4 linked regions of the Saccharomyces cerevisiae S288C genome follow. Changing the gene in region 2 together with the main gene of any one other region gives a genetic interaction. Each region holds a gene or a part of one and is shown on either strand. Other genes may lie near its edges. The genes, in order: MYO3, OSH3, GPI13 and SRP40.

Evidence for each region.
Region 1: of OSH3 (region 2) and MYO3, changing one suppresses a phenotype caused by changing the other (phenotypic suppression), as found in Saccharomyces cerevisiae (one study listed by BioGRID).
Region 3: of OSH3 (region 2) and GPI13, a mutation in one rescues a mutant of the other (synthetic rescue), as found in Saccharomyces cerevisiae (2 studies listed by BioGRID, with this or other methods).
Region 4: mutations in OSH3 (region 2) and SRP40 together harm fitness more than expected from each alone (negative genetic interaction), as found in Saccharomyces cerevisiae (2 studies listed by BioGRID).

Annotation. Positions count from the first base shown.
Region 1 is NC_001143.9:195,104-201,989, reverse strand, and holds MYO3 (myosin 3), read left to right. Parts: upstream 1-1,822; coding exon 1,823-5,641; downstream 5,642-6,886. Other genes in the region: PMU1 (putative phosphomutase), read left to right, coding at 219-1,106; SHE2 (She2p), read left to right, coding at 5,962-6,702. UniProt on the Saccharomyces cerevisiae protein: One of two redundant type-I myosins implicated in the organization of the actin cytoskeleton. Required for proper actin cytoskeleton polarization and for the internalization step in endocytosis.
Region 2 is NC_001140.6:239,432-247,997, reverse strand, and holds OSH3 (oxysterol-binding protein related protein OSH3), read right to left. Parts: upstream 5,417-8,566; coding exon 2,426-5,416; downstream 1-2,425. Other genes in the region: QNS1 (glutamine-dependent NAD(+) synthetase), read right to left, coding at 1-1,805; snoRNP complex protein NOP10, read right to left, coding at 6,158-6,334; lanosterol synthase ERG7, read right to left, coding at 6,705-8,566. UniProt on the Saccharomyces cerevisiae protein: Lipid transport protein (LTP) involved in non-vesicular transfer of lipids between membranes.
Region 3 is NC_001144.5:74,712-83,297, reverse strand, and holds GPI13 (mannose-ethanolamine phosphotransferase GPI13), read left to right. Parts: upstream 1-3,092; coding exon 3,093-6,146; downstream 6,147-8,586. Other genes in the region: FRA1 (aminopeptidase P), read right to left, coding at 1-1,837; RRT7 (Rrt7p), read left to right, coding at 2,601-2,942; YLL032C (uncharacterized protein), read left to right, coding at 6,551-8,586. UniProt on the Saccharomyces cerevisiae protein: Involved in glycosylphosphatidylinositol-anchor biosynthesis. Transfers ethanolamine phosphate to the GPI third mannose which links the GPI-anchor to the C-terminus of the proteins by an amide bond. Involved in cell wall biosynthesis.
Region 4 is NC_001143.9:608,646-615,737, forward strand, and holds SRP40 (Srp40p), read right to left. Parts: upstream 5,241-7,092; coding exon 4,020-5,240; downstream 1-4,019. Other genes in the region: PXL1 (Pxl1p), read left to right, coding at 301-2,421; DNA-binding protein SRL3, read left to right, coding at 2,880-3,620; PTR2 (Ptr2p), read left to right, coding at 7,085-7,092. UniProt on the Saccharomyces cerevisiae protein: Not known; weak suppressor of a mutant of the subunit AC40 of DNA dependent RNA polymerase I and III.

The sequences.
Region 1 (6,886 bases), on a different chromosome or scaffold from region 2:
GTGCAACGTTTGAATAAATATTTGTAATCCTAATTTCTTGCAGATTCGGATATGACCCAGCAGGCATGTGCGAGTCAAGTTAATTTTTCGGGTGCTAGCTAGTACTGGAAAAAGTAAAAAGTGTCATTTGCAAAAAAAAACCCTCGAGAGATTTGTATGTTATTTAACGATTTCTTTCCAAGACTCTGCTGCGTGAAATCACCAACAGTTATTCAACAATGTCACTCAGAGCAGTCCCAGGATATTTTGCTGCATATCCAAGTGAGGGTTTTCAAGGATTAGACTCCACGAAATATGATCACTTAGAATTGATTAACCATAAGAATTGGAAGGAACTGTATCATGCTATCCCTAGAAATACCAAAAATCGCCACTATAAGCTGTTGATTTTAGCTAGGCATGGTCAAGGTTACCACAATGCTGCCATACTGAGGTACGGTATGGAGAAATGGGACGCCTATTGGTCGTTGCTTTCGGGCGATGAACATGGAGAGTGGCTTGACTCTAAACTGACACCTCTGGGTAAAGATCAAGTTAGAAGAACAGGATCGAATGTCTTGCTACCAATGGCAAAGCAATTAGGTATGCTACCTCATGTGTTTTTCAGTTCTCCAATGAGAAGATGTCTCGAAACATTCATTGAGTCGTGGACACCAGTGTTAGCGGAGACGCAAGAATTACCGGCCGGAACTAAAATTTCTACACGCATTATAGAAGGTCTAAGGGAGACGTTGGGCTCTCACACTTGTGACAAAAGAGTGGCTCACTCAATGGCAGTTGACGAATACCAGGATTTCAGCACGGAATCGGGCCACACTGTACATTGGCAATATGTACCAGATTACCCAGAAGATGATGAATTGTGGCTTCCTGATCATAGAGAAACGTGTGCTGAAATGGACAAACGTACACTGAATGGATTATTTGAACTATTTAATCAATTGTCAAGCGAAGAAAAATTCATCTCGCTTACTTGTCACTCAGGTGTCATTCAAAGTGTCTTGAGAAACTTACAGCATCCTCCAATTTATAACCTGGACACAGGTAAAGTCGTCGCTGTCGTCGTGGAAGTACCAGTCAACACGGCCGATCGCGGCAGGCTCTGAATTTTCCCACAGCGCCCATTCGGGACTTTCAAATATGTGGGTAATTTAAATAATTTTTTATAGATATAATAGAGTGGATGGAATAAAACCCTTTCTTTTCAAATAATGTGTTAAGCACTTTGAGAAATGGTTGAACCTTTCACTTTGATCATCGCTTTCTCAAGCTAGGTGAGAACATACATTTGAGTATAAAATAAAAAATGCATATGTGAAATTATATGAATGCAAAGGGTTCTTAGTTCCTTTTTTATTCTTGTATAGTTTTCACCGCTATGTCCACTCCCTCTTTTATACTATACTAATCGATGCCACAGAAAATATAGGCTTGGAAGTAATAAGCCCCCTTCATATACTTTCGTACAAGAAAATGTAACCGGTACATTAAAACAAACTTCAGTAGCCTCCCCTAATCACTCGGCAGGCAGACCTACGATCTTGAACAACTATTATATAGTAGCAAGATGCTAGCTCCATCGCTTTTCTAACTAAAGGTAAACTGATCGATTTGCATTTATATAATAAACCTCGGGAAGAGCTTTACCGAAAAAGGAAACCGTTTGCTGTGACAAGTAAATATAGAGTAATCTATTATAAAGGGTTAAAGCAATCTCGATTCAATTGACCGCGAGCAAATTAACAACAATCCAGTTATAAAACATTAATTTGCTGATCACATTTGAATCAAAAAAAGTAAAGAGAAATACTTATAACCGTCAATGGCTGTCATAAAAAAGGGAGCACGCAGAAAGGACGTTAAGGAGCCCAAGAAGAGATCTGCAAAAATCAAAAAGGCTACATTTGATGCAAATAAAAAGAAAGAAGTAGGTATTTCTGATTTGACACTTTTGTCAAAAATATCTGATGAATCTATCAATGAAAATTTGAAAAAAAGATTTAAGAATGGAATTATTTATACCTATATTGGCCATGTGTTAATTAGTGTAAATCCGTTCCGCGATTTGGGAATATATACAAATGCCGTTTTAGAGTCATATAAAGGAAAAAATAGACTTGAAGTTCCACCACACGTGTTTGCTATTGCGGAATCTATGTACTACAATCTCAAATCATACAATGAAAATCAGTGTGTTATTATTTCTGGTGAGTCTGGTGCCGGTAAGACAGAAGCAGCCAAACGTATTATGCAATATATTGCAGCTGCATCTAATAGCCATTCAGAATCGATTGGGAAGATCAAAGATATGGTTCTTGCTACTAATCCACTTCTCGAGTCATTCGGTTGTGCTAAAACTCTGCGGAACAACAATTCTTCAAGGCACGGGAAGTATCTAGAAATTAAATTCAACTCACAATTTGAACCTTGCGCAGGTAATATCACAAATTATTTGCTAGAGAAACAAAGAGTTGTTGGTCAAATTAAGAACGAAAGAAACTTTCATATTTTTTACCAATTCACTAAGGGAGCATCTGATACATATAAACAGATGTTCGGTGTGCAAATGCCTGAGCAATATATTTACACTGCTGCGGCTGGCTGTACTACTGCAGATACAATTGATGACGTAAAAGATTACGAAGGCACGTTAGAGGCTATGAGAACCATTGGTTTAGTCCAGGAAGAACAAGACCAAATTTTTAGGATGCTGGCGGCAATTCTGTGGATTGGTAACATTTCCTTTATAGAAAATGAAGAGGGCAATGCTCAGGTAGGAGATACCTCAGTGACTGATTTTGTCGCTTATTTGTTGCAGGTTGATGCTTCGTTACTGGTAAAATGTTTAGTGGAAAGAATCATGCAAACCAGTCATGGAATGAAGAGAGGCTCAGTTTATCATGTACCTTTGAACCCAGTCCAAGCAACTGCGGTGAGAGACGCCCTTGCTAAGGCAATTTATAATAATTTATTCGACTGGATTGTCGATAGGGTTAACGTATCTTTGCAGGCATTTCCTGGTGCTGATAAATCAATTGGGATTCTAGACATTTACGGCTTCGAAATTTTTGAACACAACTCTTTTGAGCAAATATGTATCAATTATGTTAATGAAAAGTTACAACAGATTTTTATCCAATTGACTTTGAAGGCTGAGCAAGAAACTTATGAAAGAGAAAAAATCAAATGGACCCCCATCAAATACTTTGACAATAAAGTTGTCTGTGATTTAATCGAGGCGAAAAATCCACCGGGCATTCTTGCTGCAATGAATGACTCTATTGCAACTGCTCATGCAGACTCCAATGCCGCTGACCAGGCGTTTGCTCAACGACTTAACTTATTTAATTCAAATCCATACTTCGAATTAAGGGCCAACAAATTTGTTATTAAACATTACGCTGGAGATGTCACCTATGACATCAATGGTATCACCGATAAAAATAAAGACCAACTTCAAAAGGACCTAATTGAATTAATTGGAACAACGACAAATACATTCCTTTCCACAATTTTTCCTGATGATGTTGACAAAGATTCAAAGAGACGGCCTCCAACAGCAGGTGACAAAATTATTAAAAGTGCAAATGAACTGGTGGAAACTTTGTCAAAAGCTGAGCCTTCCTATATCAGAACAATCAAGCCTAATCAAACTAAATCACCAAATGATTATGATGATCACCAAGTGCTACATCAAGTAAAATATTTGGGTTTGCAAGAAAATGTTCGTATCAGGAGAGCCGGTTTCGCTTACAGACAAACTTTCGAAAAATTCGTCGAAAGATTTTATTTACTATCTCCAGATTGTTCATATGCTGGTGATTACACTTGGGATGGGGACACCCTTGAGGCAGTCAAGCTTATTTTAAGAGATGCCATGATACCAGAAAAAGAATTTCAACTTGGAGTGACAAGCGTATTCATTAAAACTCCAGAATCTCTATTTGCTCTAGAAGACATGCGTGATAAATACTGGTACAACATGGCTGCTAGAATCCAGAGAGCATGGAGAAGGTTTCTTCAAAGGCGTATTGATGCTGCGATAAAAATTCAGCGTACTATCAGAGAGAAAAAGGGTGGAAACAAGTACGTCAAGCTTCGTGATTATGGAACCAAACTTTTAGCGGGTAAAAAAGAGAGAAGATCCATGTCTTTACTTGGATACAGGGCTTTTATGGGTGATTACTTATCCTGCAATGAGTCTAAAACGAAAGGATCGTACATCAGAAGACAGGTAGGAATTAAGGATAAAGTTGTTTTTTCGATAAAGGGGGAATGCCTGCACTCTAAATTTGGCAGATCAGCTCAAAGATTGAAAAAAGTGTTTATCTTAACAAAAAAGACATTTTATATTATTGGACAAACACGGGAACAGAATGCTATGAAATATACACAAGATTATAAAATTGATGTCGGTAAAATTAAACAAGTGAGCTTAACAAACCTCCAAGACGATTGGATGGGCGTTATCCTTGTTAATAGTACACAATCCGATCCACTCATTAACACGCCTTTCAAGACGGAATTAATGACACGTTTGAAAAAATTAAATGAAAAGATAATGATAAAAGTTGGTCCCACGATTGAGTATCACAAACAACCAAACAAGTTGCACACTGTCCGCTCAAAGATAAGCGATTCAGCACCGAAATACGGTGACATCTACAAGTCAAGTACAATATACGTGCGTCGTGGACACCCTGCTAACTCCAAATCGAATAAAAAACCTAAGAATCCAGGTGGGTTGAGCGGGAAACCTATCAAAAGCAAAAAGAGTAAACACAAATCTACTCATAAGCATACACATAGCCATAGAAGTCATAGGGATGCTGCAAAAAAGCAACCTCTCCCTTCGCAAAAACCTGTGAATCCGTTATCTTTGGCAGCTACCGCTGCACAGGCAGCATACAATCCTAAACCGGATAAGACCGTACCAATAAAGTCATCTGCAATCCCTGCTGCAAAAGTAAGCTCGAAACACAGCTCAAAACCCTCATCGAAGGAAAAAGTCGCAGTAAAGAAAGCCTCCTCAAGCCACAAATCCTCATCCGCCAAGCAAAACCAGGTATCGATGCCACCTTCAAAAGGGGTTGAAAAAAATAAAGAACCGTTAAAGGAGACAACTGCAACTGCAACTGCAAACATACCAATACCACCACCCCCTCCCCCCATGGGCCAACCAAAGGATCCGAAATTCGAAGCTGCATACGACTTTCCAGGTTCCGGATCATCTTCGGAGTTGCCATTAAAAAAGGGCGATATTGTATTTATAAGCAGAGATGAACCTAGTGGTTGGTCTTTAGCAAAGCTTCTCGATGGAAGCAAAGAAGGTTGGGTTCCTACTGCTTATATGACTCCTTATAAAGACACAAGAAATACGGTGCCTGTTGCAGCGACAGGGGCAGTGAATGACGTTACAAATCAGAAATCAAGCCAAATCGACAATACCATTTCAAGTGCACAAGAAGGTGTACAGTTTGGAAGTGCAACAGTTGGACCCACTAGTGATAATCAGAGTAATCCGGTGGGGACGTTTAGCGACGGTTTAGCTTCTGCATTGGCAGCAAGAGCAAACAAAATGCGGGCGGAAAGTGCTGACGATGATGATAATGACGATGGCGATGATGATGATGACTGGTAATTAACATGAATATATAGATGTTTAGTCTCTTATAGAATGGTTCTTCGTGCATGCCTCTTAACATACCAAAAGTGCATTACATATACTTTTAAACATACTCTCGCAGAAAGTTAAAGTCCCTTTTTTTTTTTTTTTTTCATTTTTTGTTTGTATTTTCCCGTTTTGAAAAACTCCCACTTTAATGCAGGACATCGTTCAAAACAAGCTTTAAAGATTTGACAGTAAAATCCTCACTTTACTCAAGACATTTTTCTCAAAAAAAGAGAAAGCACAGTAAACCCTCCTTAATTTTCCTTTTGCATAATACCAGACACTTAAAAATGAGCAAAGACAAAGATATCAAAGTCACTCCTGGAACTTGTGAATTAGTTGAACAAATACTCGCCTTACTCTCCCGGTATCTCTCATCTTATATTCACGTGCTGAACAAGTTCATCAGTCATTTGCGAAGGGTAGCTACGCTACGATTCGAGAGAACTACTTTGATTAAATTTGTTAAGAAATTGAGATTTTACAACGATTGTGTGTTAAGCTATAATGCATCAGAGTTTATCAATGAAGGTAAAAACGAATTAGACCCAGAGGCGGATTCGTTTGACAAGGTAATTTTACCAATAGCTTCAATGTTTGTTAAATGTGTTGAAACGTTTGACTTACTGAACTATTATCTAACGCAGTCATTACAAAAGGAAATTTTATCTAAAACTTTGAACGAGGACCTAACGCTAACAGCAGAGTCCATATTAGCCATTGACGATACCTACAATCATTTCGTGAAATTTTCTCAATGGATGATTGAGTCTTTGCGTATAGGCAGCAACCTGCTAGATTTAGAAGTTGTTCAATTTGCCATTAAATGCGCAGATGAGGACGGAACGAATATCGGAGAAACTGATAATATCTTCTTGCAGGAGATTCTTCCTGTCAACTCCGAAGAAGAATTTCAGACCTTGTCAGCTGCGTGGCACTCCATTTTAGATGGTAAGCTGAGCGCCTTGGACGAAGAATTTGATGTTGTCGCTACTAAATGGCATGACAAATTTGGTAAATTGAAAAACTGAGGCCTTCAGTTTTTAGCTCAAAAAGAGCAAATAAGTACCACTAGTTAATAGAACATATATATATACATGAATAGCCTCATCACATAGCACAGAAAGTAAGCTTTCAAAACACTGATGATCGGCTCTTATTCTGGCGTACTCATTTTCAGCATCTCAAACCGCGCTGTTTTTTTCTCACTTTTTG
Region 2 (8,566 bases):
TCATACGTCATCCCCATATCTATCTCATCCGATTGAACGTAATCTTTAGTCATAGGTTCTAATTCTGCAGTTGGTGTAGCGTTTAAAAAGTCATTCAAGATTGGCATGTTATATTGTTTTGATGCGTAGGCAATGAATCTTTTCAAGTCAGTTTTTGAAATACCCCCAATAGGGTTGATATCTGCGGAGGAGCAGTCATATTTTGTTAGATACCCACGTAAGCACTCATCAACATTTGCGCTACCAAGTACTAACAATCCACCCGAGTTTGGGATACCACGAACCCACGGCAACAGTTGCGCAAAAAGATAAGAAAGAACCATTCTTAGACGCGCCTGGATGTTTTGTAAAGCCAAGTTCTCGATTTGAGATCCCCCAAATATTTTGTATATTGGTTTTTTGCCAGTGGCTACTTCGAATAAGGACACCACACTGGATACCAATGAGTCCATCTTTAAATCCACGTGGTAAGATCCAATTGCATTGGAAAGGTCCTTTGCTCTGTTTCTTGTCTCCTTGGATGAATTTTCCGTACCCATGAAACAGGAGTGAAATATTTTTGAGGCTAGATCCTGTGGACTGTCTGGAATCCAATCATCGCCGCTACGTGTTATCTTACGAACGTCTTTGATAACTTGCTCATTTCCATTTTGAGCAGCGTCGGTCACTAAACGGCACATAGAGTGGACAATCATTGCAGTTGCACAAGAGTCAATGCCCCCAGATAAGGGAAGGAAAAACCCTGTTCCGTTACAACGTCTTAAATAATCCCACATCCAGCAAGCAGGTCCCAGTGCAATTTCTTCCTCAGGAGAGTGATAGAAAGGCTCGCGGACTTTTGTTGGACACACTGTAGGATCAAATCTGGAGGTCATTAAAGCCAATTCTACAGGAATATCAATACGCTTGAACTTTATTTCTGCCAAGGAGGCTTGTAGGCCACGAGACATGACAGCTGCACGATAACTCCTCACCTCTTCTAGGTCCACAGTAGCAGTAACTACTTCCACATCATCTAGCGAAAATTGTGAACCTTGGGCTACAATTGTACCATTGATGGCAATTAGTGCACAGCCATCATAATATAATCTGTCACCATCACAACCTCTTTGATTTGCATACAAGTAAACACCACCACAACGTTTAGTGGCATTTAAAATTAGGTCTAACCTTTTATTTAACTTACGCAGTTCATGATGAGAACCAGATGAGTTTGTCATGATTTCCACACCATCTAAAGACATGGCGATGTGGGGGGATTGAGGTGTAAACAATTCTTCACAAGTTTCTGTACCAATGCATGTATCCAATGAATTTATCACAGCGTCCCCAAATGGCACAAGTCTCTGGCCGGTAACTTTCTGAATCTCAGGTGGAAGGATAAAGTCCTCCACCACGCCAGGTTTCATCCAAGGTGTGAAAAATCTCATTTCCCTATAGTTACCATCATTAGCTAACCAAATCTTAGGTCTTATGAACAATATCTCACCATCCAAGGATAACAAACGACAATTATAACGAACATTCTTGTGTAGAACGGGCATACCAATGTCAAGTATTAATCCATGGGTTTCTTTATTCTTAATGATTTGAGCATACATTTCCCATGAATGAAGGCAAACGTCATTTTCTAAAAAATGATCTAAACATCCGTAGCCAGTTATTTCCAGTTCTGGGCCGACACGTAACCTGGCACCCCTCTCTTTGGCAATCTTAATGGACTGTAGGATACGGTCTCTATTACCTTCAAAATCTAGGGCCCATTGATTCAAGTTGCATGTAGCTAAAGTGATAAGATGTGACATTACTGGCAGGGAGTCAAAAAAAGAATGCCAGGGTATTTGGGGGTATTTTTACAAGCAATATCAATTGATGATGTGAGCATATAGTCTATTTTGAGGTAACCAGTTGATAATCTTATATTTCCCTTCCATATTCCTCTTTATCTTTTTCGACGAAACTATTGGGGCCTCTTGATATGACTTAGCAGGACATATAAAGGATAAGATGTTCCAAGCTATGTTATCTTTGACAAGTTTTGATAGCAATAGACTTTCAATTCCAAATTTAGGCACCTTTTGTAAGATCCTGTGTTCGTAAACTTTTCTTCAAAAAACATGGATCTAACTGACTGAAAGAGTTCATTATCTTTCAATTATGTGATGAAATTCTATTGTTTTTTTCAAGTTTTGCAACTAATCATAAAATAGAATGTTTTTACAGTCAAGCAAACAAAAATAGTGTAGAACTGTTAATATAAAATTAGTGTGAAAGATTGATCAAGAATTTATAAAGTCCTTCATGTTGTATATAGTATACTATACATGAACGCATATACAAGTAATTTGTGTGGATGATCATTAAAGATGGAAAATAAATAGAGTACAAAGGGGGGAAAAAAGTTCACTTGATGTCATCAAGGCATTCACCAGAGTTGAGAAATATCAGACCAATCATGCTTCTTTCTTCTTTCCCAATAACTCTTCGGTCCAGTTATGTATTTCCATTCATTCTTAGATACTTTTTCGAAATATTTAGGCTCCACATCTTGCCCTTTATTACGTCTTTCACGTTGAAGTTGTTCCAATTTCAGCTTCCACTCTTCCGCCTTATCAACATTTCCCTCCTCGTAAGCTCTAATATCTGGTCTTAATCTTGAGTCCGTAGGTGGTAAATTGCCCTTTTCAATTTCAGTTATCTCATTCAAATTTGCGGTGAATTTAGTAAAGCCATATTTCTTCTTCGGATTGCTAACTAAATCACCTACTTCCCATATAGTTTCATGTGTAGTTTCATTAGCTAAACTCTGTGTCCATTTACCAGCTAGAGTTTCCTTCTTGCGATTGCTCGAAGGTGGTGGGATTATCGAAACCTTAAATCCTTCAGATCTTCCACTAAACATACCTGCCTTATCGAACAGGATGTGTGATTTGTCTCCCTTCGAAGAATGTACTTCGAATTCGTTGACAGGCTCCATATATCTCTCACCCGCTATCAAATTTTTTAAAATAGTTGTTGGTTGCGTCCATTCAAATAGTTCTCCAGTTGTCTTAAACTTCAATCTCAGTATACCTTCGTTATTCAATTCAATAGACTTACCCCAAAACTTTTGCGATGGCGTTACAGTGTAACTACACTCCCAGTCGAGATGCTCTGCAAAGAAGGCAAATACTGGAGGACGATGTGAGACCTTTTCCGATATAAGCCTAAACCCCATATCTTCTCGTATAAGTTCAAATGTTTCAGCCAGTAAAGGATTAAAAGGCTTTCTTAGCGTTCTTGTTTTATCCCTATATATGGAAAGAAAGGAAATAGCAAATGCAGAAACAAAGGTTATAGGATCAGGACGTTGGGTAGCCTTCGTTAAAAGTGGAGCATACTCAAATGTTTCTGATATCAACTGCAAAATAGAAATAGGCTCATTTGAGGTTACTGGCATGGCAATAGAGCTCAGATCTTTGCCTACATTCTTTCTCAAAAAAGATAATAGGCTTGGCGGAGAAGCTGCAGCTTCAGGTATGTCATTACGGCGTGTAACACTCTTTGGATAGGAAAGAGCAAACAAATCCTTACTTGTAAATGTTTCTGTTGAGGATTGGGCGCTTTTGGTTTTTTGATGATGAGGGTGGCCACGGCGACGATTTTTGTGACGATTTTTGAGGTGTTTACGGCTATGATTTTCATCGTTAGTTGTATAGCTCTCCACACTTGATGAAGCTATCTGTTCGGATCCCGACAATTGGACCTCTTTTGTGAACTCATTTTGGTCACTTTTACCAAGAAGGGGAGTTTCCTCGACTATATTATTAATATCATCTTCTGTGTCAGGTAATATAATGACTCCCCGACTGATTTCCTCTTCTGCATCAAAAAATTCATCATTCTCGCTAAGATATGAAGTTAAAGAAACTCTCGTGTCTTTTGCTTTCTTGCACAGGATCTGGTGGTCCTTGAATAAAACCTCTCCCTGTGTAACGAACCGGCTAACAAATACTTCAAGATCTGCCAATTGGTTATATAAAGCATGCTCAATATATGTTTTGTTGGAAGGAACCTCTTCAGAGGCTAAAGAATCAGATGACGTCATACCAGAAGAAGAATGATTGAATGAAGACACTCTATTATTGGTAAAGACGGAAGATGACGAATGTGTTCCATTTAGCCCCTCCGATCTTTGATGTAAAGTAGTTGGTTTATAAGATAACGAGTCTTTTTTACACTGCTCCAGTCGTTGTTGAATCAAACGTAGATTCATGGAGAAAGTAGCGTAAGATTCGCTGGGCAATGGGACATATATGTCATCCATGTCTTTCTGAGTATGCTGTCTATGTGATAGTGCACTTTTGGTCGTAGCCGTGGGCGTGAGGTGGTCGTGGTCTTGAGGTGAGCTTTTATTAATTACTTCCTTGTCATCGTCAAGAATGTCGGGATTTTCTTCCAAAGTGGACGTGTCCTTATCTTCGAACTGATCGTCAAAACAAGTTTGTAACGCATCGACCCACGACTGCCAATTTTCCTTAGTTGTAGCCTTCAAGACCCAAACTTCCATACCAGAATCAATTATGATTATTTTGTCCTTCTTATTGGCACTAACAGATGACAAGCTTATGACAATTTCACCCCTACAAGTTTGATTATGGTCGTTTAAATAGTACGATAGGGTTCCATATCGAAAGTCCAAGGTGAAAAACCTTTTCTTAAAACCTTGTAGTCTCTTTCTCCTTTTTTTCAGCAGGTAGCCTTGCAAGTAACGACCTTGTCCTACTCTAAATAACATATCCTGTTGAGTAGATGTTCTGCTTAAAGCTGTAGGCCTTGCGGGAGGGGTGGATCTTGTGCTTATCATCGATTGATTATCGCCGTTTATCACACTTGCGTTAAAAAGAATTTTCTTTTTTGCATTCTTGGAAGACGAGTTGTCCAGTATAAATGCATAATAGTAGTCTGTATCTTTCACTTCAAGATCACCTTGGACCATAGTGTTACCGGAAACGTTGCCGACCCTCTTGACCAAAGTGAATCCTGACGCAGAGAGTTTTTCACGTAGGGGTATTTCCTGGGATTGCTGCTGTATGCCGCTAATGGACAGTGAAGAATATGATCTCTCTTTCCTCTTATTATCCGATCCATTGCTCGAACTATGAGAGTGCTGTGAGGAACGCCTGTGATGCTCCTCAATATTACTCGAACTTCCCTTATGTAATAGAGATTTCGTAGTATAGTCTAGCAATGTTTTAGTGTCAGGTGCAATGTGAACTGCGGAAGCATGGTCATCTACACTGGATTTCAACTTTTTGTATATGCCGACTTCAATAGATTTCTTCAATGGCTTGATCTGATAATTGATTACATCGCCACGGCCACATTTTACCCAACGAACAACAAATGATCGATTTTGTATATCAATTGTTTCCATAATTCGATTCGCAGGCTGCTATTCAAGCTCGTTTTACTACTCTCCAGCAAATAGGACGTCGAAACTTTCACGAGTTATACTCTCCCCCCAACAGGTTCACTAAAAAACCATGTCGTTGCTGGTTGTATGGTGTCAAACTGCTTTTTCCAAAGATTTGGTTATTTTTTTCGCCCTACCCTAAGCAATATCCGTATTAAAAGCTATGAGGCTTTTTGGTTGAATCAACAGTTGGAAACGCTTGATACAACCAAAATAAATATGTCATTACAATTTTGTGCTCCCGGAAACAAGGTTTTCCAGCACAGTTATTAATGTAGCGGTAGCCTATCTGTAAGCCGACTCTTTGGAGCAGTAAAGTGGAGCAGTAGAGTGGAGCCTTTAGATCTAGAGATGCGGCTTAATATCGACATCAAGTACCTTTTTTGGTTGCTACAGTTAAAGACTTTTCTTGTACGTTTTAACAACGTGAAGCACAACTGTAACTAATATCAATCTATTTTTCCTTATTACAGCTAAAAAGAAACTGGCGAGTCTTAAAAGAACTGGTTCTGGATAAGAAAACGGCCACTGCTCCTTCGAGATTAAAACATATAATCGATCAATTATAATTAGTATTTATCACCTAAAAACTTATCAAATTTATGTAGGTCTAGAAAATTGAAAATGAAACAAGAAAATTCACTGCATTTTCATACTAGCCAGAATCACGTACTATACAATATTCCCTTAAACTACCCAAATCTATTGGCCTGGTACCAAACCAAATCTCTTCTTCAAAGTTACTCTTTGTCTTGAATATTTGTCGTCTGGAGAAAATCTAGCTGGGTGAGCAGACTTCGTGATTTCACCACTTTCGGTGACCTTTTTCAATGTATAGATTCTCTTGCCGTCTGGGCCCAAAGTGTACATCAAATGCATCTTGTTCAAAAGGATTTGTTATGTATTGGTCTATTGAAAGTATTTCTCTTTTCCGTCAACTCACTAACATAAGCCACTTTATAGCTACCATAATGTAATAAAAGAGTGATGAGCATAACTTGAAATTTTTTTCTCCTTCCGCTTAGTTGAAAAAAGACGAAAAAAATAGTGAAGCCGTGCTAAAGGATAAATGGTATATTTGAAAGAACTCTACACTTAGCGTGTAATCACCATAACCAATAGTTAGCTGGAATTTCAAACACATGTTAATTTTTCACCTATTATTTTACTACTACATATACAAATAAATATACTAGTTTTGCACTAGTTTCTAATTGTTGCAGCCTCTAACAACACTTATAAATAAAACTTAAAGCGTATGTGTTTCATATGCCCTGCTGTACATACCTAATGCCTTAATAGGGAATAAGAATCGATAACTTGGGTATTCAATTGCACAAGAGTGGTTGAAAACACCTTCTACACTTTCAAATTTCCATTCCCCGGATTCTTCTTGTCTATTTTTTAAAAGGTCAATACCGCGGTCGATGACTTCTTTATTAGGATATTCAGCGAAAAGAAGTGCAATTAGCGCCCATGCGGTTTGAACGACTAGCGATTTTTCACTATCCACATAACTATGTAATTCACTGGACTTCATTGATTCCCCCCAACCGCCATCCTTCATCTGTTTACTGACCAAGAAGTCGCAACCTTTTCTTACCGTTGAGGAATTCTCATAGGTCTCCCCCACGGTGTGTAATGCCTCCAATGCAAACATACCGGCATATGTAAAACAAATACCCCAGCTTCCATACCAACTTCCATCTGGTAATTGAGATTTTTTTATGAATTCGATGGCGATTCTGATGCGTGTACGTATTTCCTCTTTCCTATAGTCGAAGTACTTGTGAAAATATGTCAACCCCAGAACGGATGAATCAGTACATTCCACGTATGGGTATTCTACCATTATGTTACCAAAAACTTCAGCAGGATTCAAGGTTTCCATTGCTAGTGGGGCCTTGATTTTTTCATAGGTTGCAAAGGAACCATATTCAAAAGATCCGATGTTTTGTAGGTTCAATAACACATCAATGCCTTCAAATAAACGTTCACTGCTAATCATATGGTGTACTTCACTAAAGACGGGAGAGTTTTTCACCATGATGATGGCTTTAATTGCTTCTGCAGTGCAATCTGCCACTGTATAGCCCTGTGTTTTTGTTGAGAAGCCCCAAGCCCCCTTTCTCTTATCCCTATAACTACCTGGAACGCACTCGGTGTCAAATTGAGCATGACACAAGAATTTATAGGCAGAGACAATTGTGTTATAGAATTCAGGTCTTTCTGCGAGGCCTGCGACGAAAAAGTATTGAATGGCAAACGCACAATCCCAGGTTTGCACACCATTTGTTCCCATAATGGTCATACCCTGTGGACCATGGAACAATGCATCCTTGAACCTATATTGGAGACGCTGGAACGCTTCCGAGTCTACCCCTTCTTCAATAAGAGTGACAAGTGCGCAAAACGCCTGGTTAACAGGTGCTATACACAAGGAATCAGTATTCTGTAACTCCGTTTTGATTAGATCATAAACCTTCTTCTTGGATAGAGAGTAAATGAACCGGTTTCTTAGGTATTTTTCGTAAAATACTACAAGGCTGTTCGCAATATTCAAAGTAGTAGAATGGGGGTAATATAGGTCTACTCCACATACGGTATTCCTGTTCTTGGAGAAGTTAATCTTGTCAAACGGTTTAGTGTAAATTTCATTCCTCAGTTCTTCAAGAAGAGGAGTCATTGGGCAAGAAAATTTGACCAATGACAGGTAACTGACCGGAATGTAAACACCTCTAGTATGAACCCACCATCTCCCCGGATGCATGGGCAGTGAATATGGAAGTAACCAAGTTTCAGGAGGGGCAGGGTTCACACCTTCCCATTTATACAAGTTTAGTGCACTTAGCCAAATTTTTCCCCAGTGAGGGGATCCAATAGCACCGCCTAACCTTAACAATGTGCTTCTTGCCTTGGCGCAAACCGGGTGGTCCTTGGGTAGACCCAATAAACGTAAGATTACATAGTTCAATACTGTACCAAACACGGTGGATTTGTCAACAGAATGTAGACCCCAGCCACCATCAACCGGATGTGCTGTATTGACGATGTATCTAATTAATTCTATTCTCTCATGCTCAGGAATTTCAATACCGGCGATATAGTTTA
Region 3 (8,586 bases), on a different chromosome or scaffold from region 2:
ATAAAAACTGCCTAGCGATGGCGTCGATATTAAACCCGGGAGTGTTTTCGGGAAAAATCAACCTCTCTAGGGCTAAGCCACCTTTAAGTACCAGTGTGTAATTATCCATTTCTTCTTTGGTTGGCTTTGTTAAGTGAATTGTTCTTGTTATATCAGTTGTACCCTCCAAGAATTGCGAACCGGAGTCGCAAAGATATATCTTGGTAGGATCAATCATCGAAGAGTTCTCTACGGGCGGCGAATAATGTATGATGGCGGCGTTACTACCTGTGGAGGATATTGTTTCGAAGGAATTGCCCATGAAGTTCCTTTGGGTTTTCCTAATCTCGGTCAATTTTTCTGCGGCACGATATTCATCTATCAGTGCCTCGCGCCCCACTAATTGCTGCTCCAGCCATGCAAAATACTGCACTAAACATACTGCGTCTTTGACCTGCGCCTTGTGTGCGTTTTTTATTTCGATGTCATTCTTGATAGATTTCAAAACATCGATGGGTGAGTGAATTATCGCAAAGTTTTGTGCAGTCATTTTTTTAGCTATTGCACCGTTAGCGTTGGTTGAGGTGTTCAAACAACGAACCATCTGCCACGATGCACTATCAGGAATCAAAAATTCATGCTCCGCAGAAGAAGCCTGCGAAGTTATCTTTGTTAAATGTTCCCATATCTGTTCGTAAGGTCTGACTTCAATACCGTTTATCTTAAAATATTCCGATATGTCATCATTGAAGGGGTTATTGGTGAAAAGAATGGTTTCGTCTTCGTTAATAGCCACGTAGGAGAAAAAAACTGGATTATAGTCAATGTCGGATCCACGCAAGTTCAACAACCAACAAATTTCATCCAACGCAACTACTATGAAAGTATTCCTACCGGTCGTCGCAGAGGAAGCCTTATCATTCAGCTTTTTCAGTAACTTTTCCTTCTTGTCTTTGAATTCTTCACCATGAAACTCGTATTTTAACAGTAGTAAATCGTTACAAGGCCTTTCAGGTAGAGTTTCAAAATCAGGCCAAATACTGTCAACTAAGTTTTCCTCCACGGGAACCAGCTCCACTTTACCCTTTGCGTCATATTTAGTGTCAATCATTTTTCTAAAAGAAACATAGTCGTTGAAAGTGATAAGTTTTGGGTCAATACCTATCTTCAACACCATTCCCTCTTTATTGCCAAGTCCCTTGGCCATTTCCAAAGCTTCTCTGACACACCATTCTTGCCAAGTGATTGGGTCTTCGTTTTGCCTCAAAAGTGTCCAATTATAATCTAGTTCTTGTCTAGCTTGATTGAAATATCTTCCATCAGTACTCAAAATGGATTTCCCATCCGGATGGTCATCGTTGAAATTTAACAAGTCTCTGGTGATACAGGCTACACCGGCCGATCCGGAAAACCCTGAAATGAAGGCGCGCCTTTGATCTCGCAATGATACATATTCGGACTGATGTTCGTCACAACTGGGCACAATATAACAACACAAATCGTGTTTCTTCATCTCCTGACGCAACTTCAACAATCTATCAGTAGTGTTAACTTCCCTGTTAACAGCGCATAGAGAGTCACATGAGTAAACAGACCCATTTCCAGCACTGCTACCTCCGCCAGCGCCCTTCAACTCGTTGAGAAGCATGCTGGAGGACCTCCTTGAATTTTCTAACTGTCTTAAAAATAGAGAGGCTCTACGACCTTGCCTAGACAGTAAGCCTGGAGAACACGTACAATCCGCACATGGCCTAAACGGTCTGGGGCTGTGTGATGCCGATGTTCCTCTCATGTGCGTGCCAGGTACATGGGAAATCGAGTGAGCCCTGCCGTCACTGGTGGATGGTTTCGAAGTCATATGAAGATTTTGTTTGTAATTATTGGTTTCGCTCTGTTGAGGTCTCCGTTTTTTTTTTATTCTTTTTTTTTTTAGCTATGCAGTCTTTTTGCCAGTGCTTCCTGCCTTTCCTGTATTTGTAAATATTGCACCTATTAAGACTAAACTGACTCAGTTTTTGTATGTCGCTTCCTTCTTGTTCCATCCCTCATTCGAAGTATTTCTGAAAAAAGAAAACGTAGAAGAAAATTCGGGAAAATGGGGTGCGATTTTTAGGGGTCACCCGGGGATATACCTTCGGGTAACACCAGAAGTCGTCAAAAACAAAACAAAATTAAACTAAACTCTGGCGGCTAAAAGATAATCATAATGCACATAGGGAAAGCTTTCTACCATATTTGAACACTTTAACGGTTAGTTGAAATAATAAGAAATAATTATATGTTTATTTTTACGTGGGTTATAAAGACGGGTAAATTATCTTCGTTATTACTCATGAAAACCTACAAGTAAGCGGCTCAATGGCATTTCGTGGCAGATAATCTTCAGCTATCATTATTATTTTTGAGAGGATGGTTTTTAGGAGCAGTTTGAGGAATAAACAAGAGCTTAATGTACCGTTATACATTTTTAAAAAGCTGTCTTTTTTATTGGGTTCACAGCTCTCATTTTTTTCCATGCAAAATCATTTTTTTAGCCGCCGATGCTTCAAAATGGGTTTAAGATATTTATTGTTTAAATGTTTCTGCATCTGGATTCACTGAAAAAAATTTAGACGCCTAACATGTATTTTGCATTTAAAGGATTATGCGGGAGAAGATTTCTGCCCATTGCCTCTTTTCTTACTATATTGAATAGAATATTATTCCAATACTGGCTTTTTTACAATTCATTAAAAGAGGAAAAGACATTTCAGAAAATTTTCTTCTCTATGAACCTTAAATGTAGGAAAAAAAAGGAACCAAACCACATCATTTACTCTCAACCGCCTTTCTTGTTGGGGTTCATGGTACAATTGCAAAGTTGTGTCAAGTTGTTGCCACTCTATCTTTTGTTTTTGTTACAGGGTAATGGCGCACATTATGCAAGCGCGATGACGAGCAAGGTACTTTCTTTTTTCCTTTAACATTTTGTTGTCCACCGGAAAATAAAAAAAAACAAATAAATGGGTAAGATCAAAAAAGGAATAGAAGCATATGTTTTAAGGGCAACGCCGAATCGTCAAAGAACGGGAGGAAGATCAATACATTAAGTGGAAAAAAAAAGCTCCCGTAATATGGATGAAAAGACAATTAAAAAGTCGATTCTTTCATCTTCCAATGATGAAAAAATAATATACAAATCGCGAATAAAGAAATTTCAAAAGAATCATAAATTTTATATTATTCTATTGGTTTTCATCGCCATTTTACAATTCATATCAATAGCTTTTTTCACTCGGGGATTCTTACTGTCAAGACACGTTCTTGATAATATTTCCTCACAAAACGAAACGAGTAAGTTACCTCCTAGGTTCAACAAGGCGGTGATTTTGGTTATTGACGCTTTGAGATTTGATTTCGCTATTCCTGTAAACGAATCCCACTCTAATTACAACTTGAACTATCATAATAATATATTATCATTGTATGATTCTTTTGCAAGCGATAAGGATGCATCTTCCCTATTGTTGAAGTTCATTGCCGACCCACCAACCACTACTTTACAAAGACTCAAGGGTCTCACAACAGGGTCCTTACCGACTTTCATTGATGCCGGGTCTAACTTCGATGGAACAGTAATCGAAGAGGATAACTTTCTTAAACAGCTCCATTTGGCAAATAAGACTGTCAAATTTGCCGGAGATGATACATGGATGGCTCTGTTCCATCCGTTCCTTTCCAACGATAGTTTCCCACTAGAATCACTCAATGTGTGGGACTTAGATACTGTCGATAACGGTGTTATGGATTACTTCCATGATCATTTACAGCAGGACAAGGAATGGGACGTCATGATTGGACACATGCTAGGTATTGACCATGTGGGCCACAAATATGGCCCCGACCATTTTACTATGAGGGAAAAACAAATTCAAGTAGATCAATTTATCGATTGGATACTAAAATCGATCGATGATGATACCTTATTGGTTATTTTGGGTGACCATGGAATGGACCATACGGGCAATCACGGTGGCGACTCCATCGACGAGCTCGAAAGCACTTTATTTCTTTATTCTAAGAAGCCGGACATGTGGAGACTTAAAGAAACTTCGAATTACAACATTGATAATTTGGGACACGATTACCGTTCAGTGAGACAAATTGATTTGGTGTCTAGTTTGGCGTTATTGATGGGCCAACCGATACCATTTAACAATCTTGGATGGCCTATTGACGAAATAGCAAGAAACGATAGAGAATGGTCTCAATTTGTCAACTCAGCGATAAGCCAATTACAATTATATAAGGACACGATGCAGATCCACCATGGCAATGACGAAATATTGGAACCGTTAGCGAAAAATATATCTAACACCCCCCCAACAAGCGATCCAGAAAAATTTGTTAAGCTGGGTCATAAATACCAAAAGGTCTTCTTGCAGACCTGCGAAGAACTATGGGCCAAATTCGATTATTATTCCATTGCCACCGGTATAACGCTACTGGCCACTTCACTGGTCCTGTTGATATCCATTACAAAATTAATTCCTTCTATTGTTGTGAATCAAATGGTTCCAGAATTCGTTCCGGGAATTATCATAATGGTCTTAGTTACAAACCTATGTTTCCATGGAATTTTTTACGTTTATCAACAACCAAGTTTTGTAGACCAATTCTGGGGTACCCTGTTAGCGACTGCAATTGGTATCATTATTGGTTGTTATATCACAATATTTGATAGGTACAACTTTATTTGGATTGCTATGAGACTGGGTGAAACATTAGCTGATTATTGGTCAAGAATTGCTGTCATGTTTATGATTATTCATGCTTTGCTTTTCACTTCCAATTCATTTACTATTTGGGAGGATAGAATTGTAGCATTCCTTTTATCTACTTTCGGCATGTTGACGTTGTATGAATTTGTCTTCTTACCAAAAAGGCAATCCACCACTGCATTATTAACTGCAACAATCAGTGAAAAGGAAGGAACCACTTCAGGGGTCAATCCTTCGACAGCAAATTCAAATTACTTACCATTAACAAGATTTGCAAGATTACTAGGAGGTTACCATTCTGCAGTTTTAATCATTTTTACCCGGTTAGCTTCTATGATTACCATTTGTAGAGAGGAACAAGGCGAATATTGTATTCCAACATTTAATAATCAAAACAATTCCTCGTGGTGGGTTTTGGGTCTCTGTTTCCTAATGATATTCATATTACCTGCATGCATCACCGGTTATTATAATCTAACATCGTCTTATCAAGCTGCAGCTCCAATTTGGATAAACGTTTTCCTAAAGGGTATCCTTGGTTTGAACTTTGTTTATTGGTCATTGACTTCATTAGAAAATAACAGTGCGGTAATAGCAATACCGTTCTTACGGGACGTCACTATTTTTAAATTTACGTTGGCTAGAATTATTGCCGGTTTTTCATTGATTGCTTCTAATGTCGGCTGGCTAATGGGACCACTTTGTATTAAATTAAACATTCATAATACTGATGTTAAGTCTCACGAAGCAACAATTTTAGGTTATACTAATATTTACGGCTCAGAGTTTTTTCTTTTGGTCATAAACGTTCTCATTAGTATCCTACTATTCAACAAACCCCTGGCCCAGTTGTCATACTTCCTCATGTGCAACCAACTACTATCAATTTTAGAAATTATCGATCTTTTAAAATTAAAGGAAAACATAATTGGTCCAATTGCGTTGGGACTCTTATCTTACCAACATTTTTTCACCACCGGTCATCAAGCCACAATTCCATCAGTGCAATGGGATATCGGATTTATGCTGTCTGAAAAGGTAACGTTCCCCTTCACTCAGATAGCCATCATCCTAAATACATTTGGGCCTCATATTCTCGTCTCCTTATCTGTAGCGTTACTGACACTGTGGTCACAGCCTCCTGATGTGTTGAAGCCACAAACACTTTTAGGAAGAATTGTGTCAAACTGCGGTATATTACTCACTTACAATACTATTTTATGTCTAAGCTCCTTTATTTGGGTTACTCACTTCCGTAGACACTTGATGGTTTGGAAAATCTTCTGCCCAAGGTTTATCTTTGCTTCTTTAAGTTTAATAGTCACTCAACTGGTCGTTACTTTTGGTACAATTGCATTTGCTAGTGGGAGATTGATTAAGCACATAAATGACATTTTTTGGAAATGACGAACTTCATTTCCACTCTTTACTTACAAATATACTATATATATATATCTACATGTAATTTAGATACAAGTAAATCATATCTCTTGATATTGCAAAAATTTGAAAGCAAAAGCATCTCTTTTCTGCAGCTTTATTCTTTTAAGATTGTACATTTTTCTATCACTTTCTTGTAATCCTAAATTATATTTTTCTCCAAAATTTTTCTTTTCGCTTGTAGATTGTTTTTTTTCCACAAAGGCAAAAAACAAAAACAAAATAAAAGAAATAAAGGATGAAAAGTCATCTTTGTTTATATAGCTAACCTCTTGACTACCTGAACCTTTTGAAGCACTATTCAAGCCCGCAGAGGTTAAGTCTACACAATTGTTTAAAAAGAAAAACAGCAGTAAACACACGGTTGAGGCATGGATAACTTCAAAATTTACAGTACAGTTATCACAACTGCTTTTTTACAAGTTCCACACTTATACACGACAAATAGATTATGGAAGCCCATAGAAGCACCTTTTTTAGTTGAATTTCTTCAAAAAAGAATAAGCTCCAAAGAACTTAAAAACACAAAAGCAATCTGTCATATAGATCCCTCATGGGTCAATCTAAATGCTTCTTTCATTAGAGATGACATGATCTCAATAAAAGCTACCACAGATGATATGGACCTCGATGCTATTTGCAGGATTTCTTTGCCCTTACCTATGAACACAAATGATCTAACAGCAGAATTGGAAAAAATGAAACGTATACTATTGGACTTGAGTGAAAAATTCAATTTAGAACTAATCATCACCAAAGAACCAGCTTACTTCACACCAGAACAGACAGGCGAGAGCAAGGAATTATGTATTTACGTGCATGCATTAGGATTCCGATCTAATTTAATGGAATGCGAACCCCAGTTATTGGCATTTGTCGATTTAATAAAGAAGAATGGTATGACTTTGCCTCCACAACACTACATTATCGAACCTATGGAACTGAACTCATACTCTGTGCTTCCCTTATATATGGGTGTAGATATGGAAAACTTCAAACATATATCCAGAGCTTTTAAAACCAGCATTTACGCACCTTCCCTCATTACGCTGTCTAGGGATCTTAAGGCAAATCCACAAATCTTCTTCTCAGGCGCTGTCCATTCACTAAGTTTACTGGCTAGGAAAACTCTACGTGAGTCCATAAGCGTGAATTCAAAGAGTTTTTTTTATCGTCGATTGACTAATATTACCCCAGGAAAACTACTGTTTATCCGAAAATACTACCAACAAAAGGTAAACCAGTTAATTTTGAAATACCAATCGCTTATTAGAGTTACTAACGAATACATTGAATTTCAATCGATTTCCACGAACTTATTAGAAATGGTTATTAAGAACTTCACTATTCAAGTATTACATGAAATTGTAGAAGTACAGATTTCACTCAATGAAAACTGCGCAATGTCCCCGGAATTAATAATCGACAGCTTTTTCGGACACACTGGAAACCAAATTGTAGTAATAACTCCCAAAGAGGATTCCTTCAACCAATTAATAGTAGTTGGTAACCAATCTTCCACAGATGAGGCGTCCGATACTTCCATATTGCATTACTTATCTGATTTTATTATGGGCTCAAATCAAGTGATTAATCCAAACTTAAGACAGATAAAAGCCATTTTCGAGATACATCCTGATTTTGAAGACTTCATATCAGGCAAGAAAAATGGTAAATTAACACGTATAATGGAACTATCTGCTTGCTTAATTCAACTGGAAATGGAAGAGGAAGATGATAACCTTTATTTAAATTTGGTTAGTGACTCTTTCCCTGATTTCAAGGAATCATTTAAGAATGTTATAAATGAATTTCCTGCCGAAGAATCTTTCTTCATTCCTGAAGTTTGTCACAGACCGATTATAGGTACAGGTGGTTCCTTAATTCAAGCCACAATGAGAAAGCATAACGTCTTCATTCAGTTTTCCAATAGTTTCAATCTTCCACAAAATAAAATTTCTATGATCAGGTATGATAATGTGATAATTAGGTGCCCCAGGAAAAACAAAGCTAATATATGCCTAGCCAAGAATGATTTAAAACAAATTGTTCAAGAATATGATAGTTTACAATCGAAGACGCTCATTAGATTTTCTAGTGGGCAATATAGACATATTTTGCATGTTAACGGCCAAAAGAATATTATAGGACAAATCGAAAAGAACGAAAATGTTTACATAATGATACCGTTAAAAGAGCCCTTGGATGGAACATCTCAATTGAGTATACAAGGAAATGATGAGAATGCATCAAGAGCCGCTAACGAATTGGTTAATAGTGCGTTTGGTTATGAATACGAGTTCAAAATAGATCAAGAGATAGATCCCAATAAAGAATACGAATTTTATAACCTAATTGTTGTTCCATTTTTGCAAATTATGAACATAATTGTAACTTTTGAGAAGGA
Region 4 (7,092 bases), on a different chromosome or scaffold from region 2:
CCTAATGACTTTTTGAAGCGCCTAGCCCTATTTCTTTCGAAATTTTCAATTCGCGTCCTTTTTCAATTCCATGAATAATAGGAAACATGAAAAAATAAGTAAATAATAATAATAGAAAAGCTGGAGTGTTGCAAATTTAAGAGGTAGCCTTAAAATATATTTCTGCTGTGTTGAATATTTAATTTATACAGCTAGAATAGGATATTATAGCCGAATTTTTTTCAAGCTTCTTCAAAGCTTATAGTGAATAACGTAAGGGGAAAAACAAGAATAAATTTAGCAAAAGAAACGCTCAAGTCAATGTATAACTCAATCTACGGGTCCCCCTTCCCTAAAATAAATCCGAAGGTCCGCTACAAAACTGCTCTAGAAAGAGCAGGGTTTGACACTAAGCCGCGTAATCCGTTCAGTAGTCAGAGGAATGCTTCCACTGGAAGTTTACAAGCTTCCGTGAAGTCGCCGCCAATAACCCGTCAAAGAAATGTATCTGCCGCCCCATCTGTTCCGGTCACGATGAAGAGTGCGTATACGGCGTCTTCAAAGAGTGCTTATTCATCTGTAAAGGGCGAGTCTGACATTTATCCGCCTCCCGTATTGGAGAATAGCGAGAGGCGGAGTGTAACTCCTCCAAAGAATAGCAATTTTACGTCTTCGAGACCCAGTGACATATCTCGTTCTATTTCCAGGCCCAGCGAGCGTGCTTCGCAAGAGGATCCCTTCCGTTTTGAACGCGACTTAGACCGTCAGGCGGAACAATATGCTGCCTCTAGGCATACATGTAAATCACCTGCTAACAAGGAATTCCAAGCCGCAGATAACTTCCCCTTCAACTTCGAACAAGAAGATGCTGGTAATACTGAAAGGGAACAAGATTTGAGCCCTATTGAAAGAAGTTTCATGATGCTGACTCAAAATGACACTGCAAGCGTTGTAAATTCTATGAACCAAACCGATAACAGAGGTGTGCTCGACCAAAAACTCGGAAAAGAACAGCAAAAAGAGGAAAGTTCAATCGAATATGAAAGTGAAGGACAGCAGGAGGATGAGAATGATATTGAAAGCCTAAATTTTGAACCAGATCCTAAACTACAGATGAATCTTGAAAATGAACCACTTCAAGATGATTTTCCAGAAGCAAAACAAGAGGAAAAGAATACAGAACCTAAAATTCCGGAAATTAATGTTACGAGGGAAAGTAATACACCATCTTTAACCATGAACGCACTAGACTCTAAAATATATCCTGATGATAACTTTTCTGGCCTGGAATCTTCAAAGGAACAGAAATCACCTGGTGTGTCATCATCGTCAACAAAAGTTGAAGATTTAAGTCTTGATGGGTTAAATGAGAAACGTCTTTCAATAACTTCTTCAGAAAACGTGGAAACACCATACACTGCTACGAACCTCCAAGTCGAACAATTGATTGCTCAATTAGACGATGTTTCCCTATCTAGAAATGCAAAGCTCGATATGAACGGCAATTGCCTCAACGCAGTGGACAGAAAGGCTTCTAGATTCAAAAAGTCAAGCGCATATTTATCTGGGTATCCCAGCATGGATATACCCGTAACGCAGCAAACATCAATTGTGCAAAACAGCAATACGAACTTATCCAGACAAACTATTCTGGTAGATAAAGGCGATGTCGATGAAGACGCGCCATCTGAATCTACAACTAATGGTGGCACACCCATTTTTTACAAGTTTAAACAGTCGAACGTAGAATACTCCAATAATGAAGGGATGGGTTCGCAAGAAACTTTCAGAACGAAACTTCCCACAATTGAAGCACTACAACTGCAGCATAAGCGCAACATAACAGATCTGAGAGAAGAAATTGATAATTCCAAATCTAATGACTCTCATGTATTACCTAACGGCGGCACTACGAGATACAGCTCTGATGCAGATTATAAAGAAACGGAGCCCATTGAGTTTAAATATCCGCCTGGGGAGGGACCTTGCAGAGCATGCGGCTTGGAAGTCACAGGGAAAAGAATGTTTTCCAAAAAGGAAAACGAACTGTCGGGTCAATGGCATCGTGAATGTTTTAAATGCATTGAATGTGGTATCAAATTCAATAAACATGTTCCCTGTTATATTCTAGGCGATGAACCATATTGTCAAAAGCACTATCACGAGGAGAATCACAGTATTTGTAAGGTTTGTTCAAATTTCATAGAGGGTGAATGTCTGGAAAATGATAAGGTGGAACGATTCCACGTGGATTGTCTAAACTGTTTCTTATGCAAGACTGCCATTACTAATGATTATTATATATTCAATGGGGAAATTCCATTGTGCGGTAATCACGACATGGAAGCTCTCTTGAAGGAAGGTATCGACAATGCTACATCAAGCAATGATAAGAACAATACTCTCTCTAAAAGGAGAACGAGGCTCATCAACTTCAACTAGCATCACTACCCATTTGTCTTTCCTAGCACACATGTTTCATAACATTCTTAATAAGATTTTGATTTTTTATATTATTAGCCAGCCTTGTTCATTTATAAATTGTATAGCGCAGGAAAAAGGCATCTGCCTATCTATGGTATCAACAACATTAGTCGTCATTAGTTAGTTAGTTATAAAGACATCATTCACTCATATTCACTACGTTGTCTTCTTCTCAACAACTACCTCTAACTGTTTTTTTACGCGTCATTTAATTGTAGCGAATTTCTATTTTTGGACATTCTCGTACCGGTGCATTAAAGGCTAAAAGCTAAAAAGGGAACAGGAGCCTAAGAATAGAGAATAAGGAAATTTATTTAAGGAAAGGCTAAGCAATGAAATGTTTCGTTATTTTATTGTATTTTCAAGAGGATGGAAGAAGAACCTGAGCACAAACGGATAAATAATAGACGAATATAATGTTTCTTAAGACACCTAATTGGGAAACGGTAAATGAGACTCCCAAATCGAGAGTCTTAACGATAAACGAATTGATCTCTCCCAACCTGGATACTGAATCTAACAGCCTTCTGGCGACGCCGGCAAGGAAATATTTCAAAACTTCAATAAGTGAAGCGCAAGATTCTCCTACATCTGCCCCTTCGCCCGATGGCAATGAGGATCCCACATATCAATACAACGTACAATTTCATTTTCCAGGACCAATAACACCTACAACACCCAGGTCTAAGAATGCAGAAATGTTTCCATCCCCCACGCCCCCATTGGTTTCTCCCACAGCGGTTATCGAGGAAGAGAATGACGATTCCGTACGGGAGTTTTCACGCACGCTAAAATCAAGACTCAACTGCGCAATGGTTAAGCTATCAAAGGAACATGAGCAAGTAGCTTTGATTCCTCCACCTCCGACGGAAAAGATACGAAAGGGCTCTTATAGTAATAAATTTGCCGCTAAGCATAGGCGCTGTCACTCGTTAGATGAATCCAAAAAGTTTCTGAGTTCTCTGGAAGATTCATCCGCTCATGCAGCGTTCTTGAAGGCAATTTCGTCCAAACATGCCAAAAGCAATAGGGTAGACAACGTTAACGTTTCGCCGTTACGTTGGTCATCTCATAGAAGAACGCAAAGTACACAGGAGAATTCTTTACAAGAAGTTGTTGCTATCGATACATTATTGAAGATGTCCTCATCGGACTGAACTAATGATTCGGGTTTCGCATATATACATGGCTTTGGCTACTTTTAGGTTTATAGTTCTTGCTGTTTATATCACTAATATTTAGTATATAGCTGCGAAGAAAGAAAAAGAAAATATTCACCTCTAGGAGCCAAAAACATAAAAAAAAAAATAATTAAAAAAAACTTTTATTGAATGCTTAATTATTTAGTGACGCGATTACCTATATACCAGGTTATTTATTTTTTCTTTTTTCAAAGGAAAACAATACAAAATATTACTGTTACCATTTTTGTTACTATTATTATTGTCTTTATTACTATTATTTTTCTATCGTTGCTATAATTACAATTTGTTTACTCTACAACTTAAAAGGAGATTACTCCAGACAACGAGTTTTGTTTTATGTTTCCTATTCTTTTAATCTTGGAATTTGTATGAACCACTTTCTAATGTAATGGATCCACCTCTGTAAGAACCTCTCTTCATTTTATTTTTGTTCTTCGTGAAATCTTTACCTCTTACTCTACCTAATTTTTCATTTGCCTTTTCACCCCATGTTCCAGCCGCGCCTTTGTAGGTGTTGTCTGTCAACTCCCAAGCTTCGAAATTAATCTTCGATCTATCTACTCTGGAAAAATGCTTTCTTTGGCCCTCTTTGATCTCGTCGGTTCCAGCAGGAATGTTCAATTTATTGGCGCTTGATGAACTGGAAGCAGATGGAGTTGATTCGTTAGATGAGGCAGGCGTTTCTTCGGCCTTGGATTCGTCTGCAGTTGCTTCTTTTGTTTCCAATTCAGAGCTAGAACCAGAGTCTGAGTCGGAATCCGAATCGGAGGAATCAGAAGATGTAGATTCGTCGGAACTTGAATCAGACGAGCTTGAAGAATCGGACGAGCCTGAAGAGTCTGAGTCCGAGCTTGAGTCGGAATCCGAATCTGAATCCGAGGAAGAGCTGCTAGAGCTGGAGCTAGAGTCGGAGTCAGATGAAGAGTCGCTGGAGCTGGAGTCGGAGTCAGACGAAGAGTCGCTAGAGCTGGAGCTAGAACTTGATTGAGAATCTGATTCAGAATCTGATTCGGAATCAGAAGAACTACTTGAGCTAGAACTTGAGTCAGAATCAGATTCCGAACCTGATTCTGATTCTGAAGATGACGATGACCCGCTAGAGCTTGACTCCGATGAGGAAGAGCTTTCTGGTTCAGTTTTAGCCTTTTTAGTCTCCTTAGCATCTTCGTTGTCTGATTCTCTTGCTCTTTTCTTGGTTTCATCTTCTGATTCGGATTCCGAAGAAGATTCGTCAGAACTAGAGCTAGAGGAAGAAGAAGATCCACTGGAGCTAGAGTCGGATTCACTAGAAGATTCAGAGTCACTGGAACTTGAGCTTGAGCTAGAAGAAGAAGATGATGATGAGCTAGATTCAGAGTCACTGCTGTCACTGCTGTCACTGCTGCTGCTGCTGCTGCTGCTGCTGCTGCTGCTTGAAGATTCGCCGCTAGAACTGGACGAGGAAGATGAAGAAGAAGAGGAGGAGGAGGAGGAGGAGGAGGAGGAAGAAGAAGAAGAAGATTTCTCTTCAATCTCCTTCTCCTTAACACTTAATTTTGGCACTTCGTCAACTTTAATTTTCTTGGAAGCCATTGCTATGTATTCTTAGTGTACTGCGACTTGGGTTTCTTTCTTGCTTTGTATAAAAGTGCGATGAGTTCAATCATCAAGTGAATTTTTTTTTTTCAGCCTGCATTGAAAAAAAAAAAATTGTATGCTCGAGCGATGGGAAGGTTTTTTCCTCTTCCCGTTCAAAGCTTCCTCGGACCAACTCCACTTTTTCTCGGCCCGTTGTAAAGAAATGGGTAAGAGAACTAAATTGCAATAAGCTTCGAATTATCGTTTTGATCCAGACATAAAGAGATGTACAAACTACAAAACAAGAGTAAAATAACTCGAACGAAGGGTACACCTTCTGTAATAAAACAAATTCACTATAACTGCCTTATTGGAGTGAAAAAACAAGATTATGTAGACCCCCTCTCGCGATAAAGAACATTAATGACTGCAACACCCGCACACCACAAGGTGAAGGGCAAAGGTGAATTAACCAAAGTGAAGAGGACGACGTAGAATCAACCAGGTATCCTTGATAAGGGGAGGAGTAAGAAAAAAGTGTGTCGAACGTAAATTTATGTGTCTAATGAAAGTATCTTCACACTAAGATTATAATTCTCCTTGGCAAAACAAAATGACACCTTTGTCCTGTTTTCGTTATCTACTTTTTTTTGTGTCAGATGTCATTTTGGTCTCCTACGCATCCACTACATCCTTGTCACAATTTGTTATCAGTAACCAACTTAGATGACTTGCACCAGCGCCACATCTTCGAAAGCGTTGAAACAAACTACGTAAACAAACAAAAAGTCAACATCCTGTAGATGTGGCTGCAAAACCACAGAATCCTCGTGTGGGAGAAAATATTGATAGGACCAGAGCGAACTTTTTTGATACAGACGTAGGAGGTAGCCGTTACCGCATTAGTATACTATATGCGTACGGCCGCCAAGAGCCCAAGAAAGAGACACAAAACTACGTGGGATAAGCTTGGGGTAACGCAATCAGTATTGTTCATTTTTTTTCCCGGAAAAGCTAAGAGTTTTCTGGCGAGATAAGATAACGGCGCCGAAGGCAGCGGCGAACTGACTTACCTCCGTCGGCTCCGGCGTACGGCACCAAAAAATCCCGCAATAACTTGACACCAATGGGCTAACGGCGTCCGCAGAACCGTGACGCAATCTGCGGTTTGTGTCAAGACAGAGAAGTGGGCTGCTTCTCCCCTTTCAACACTCCCCTCCCATGGCTGAATACTCAGACGTTTTCTGTGGTGGAAATGGCATCAAAAGTGCCACTGGCTGGCGAATCCAGACTATTTTGTGTCAAAGAAACATGCGTACCTGCACAATAAAAAGAAAAGGCCCGCCCTACTGACATCCTGTTCAGGATCCTCGAAGAACAGGAAAAAGGACAACCGTCCTTTTCACTTCACGTTCGCAGGGCTTTCCTCGATATAATGGCGATTACACAAGCGGTGGCGTCTTGAAAAAAGTTGGGTTTCTTATCTGTACGGCGATCACTCCCCTCATATGATAGCTGTGTAGAGTGACTTGCTCTTTGATTGGCCTTACTTCTTGCATCTATCATCCTTTCTTTTACTCTCTCCAATCACCACAACTCATATCATTCTACATTTCATTTTATTGTTCTGTACAATTTTTAGGTTTGTAAAATATATAAGTGATGTACATATCTTCTATATCCTTTCCGTTTGTGTCTATTTTAGGGTTGGCTTATTACGCATTATTCCTACTTTATTTTTACTTGCTTACTTGAAAAAGAAGGTATACCACAGTGCTGCTCCACTGCAAACAATATAAAATATTATCAATTATTTTTTTTTTTCTTCTTTTGAATTAGATCACTAATAAACTCTTATAATGCTCAA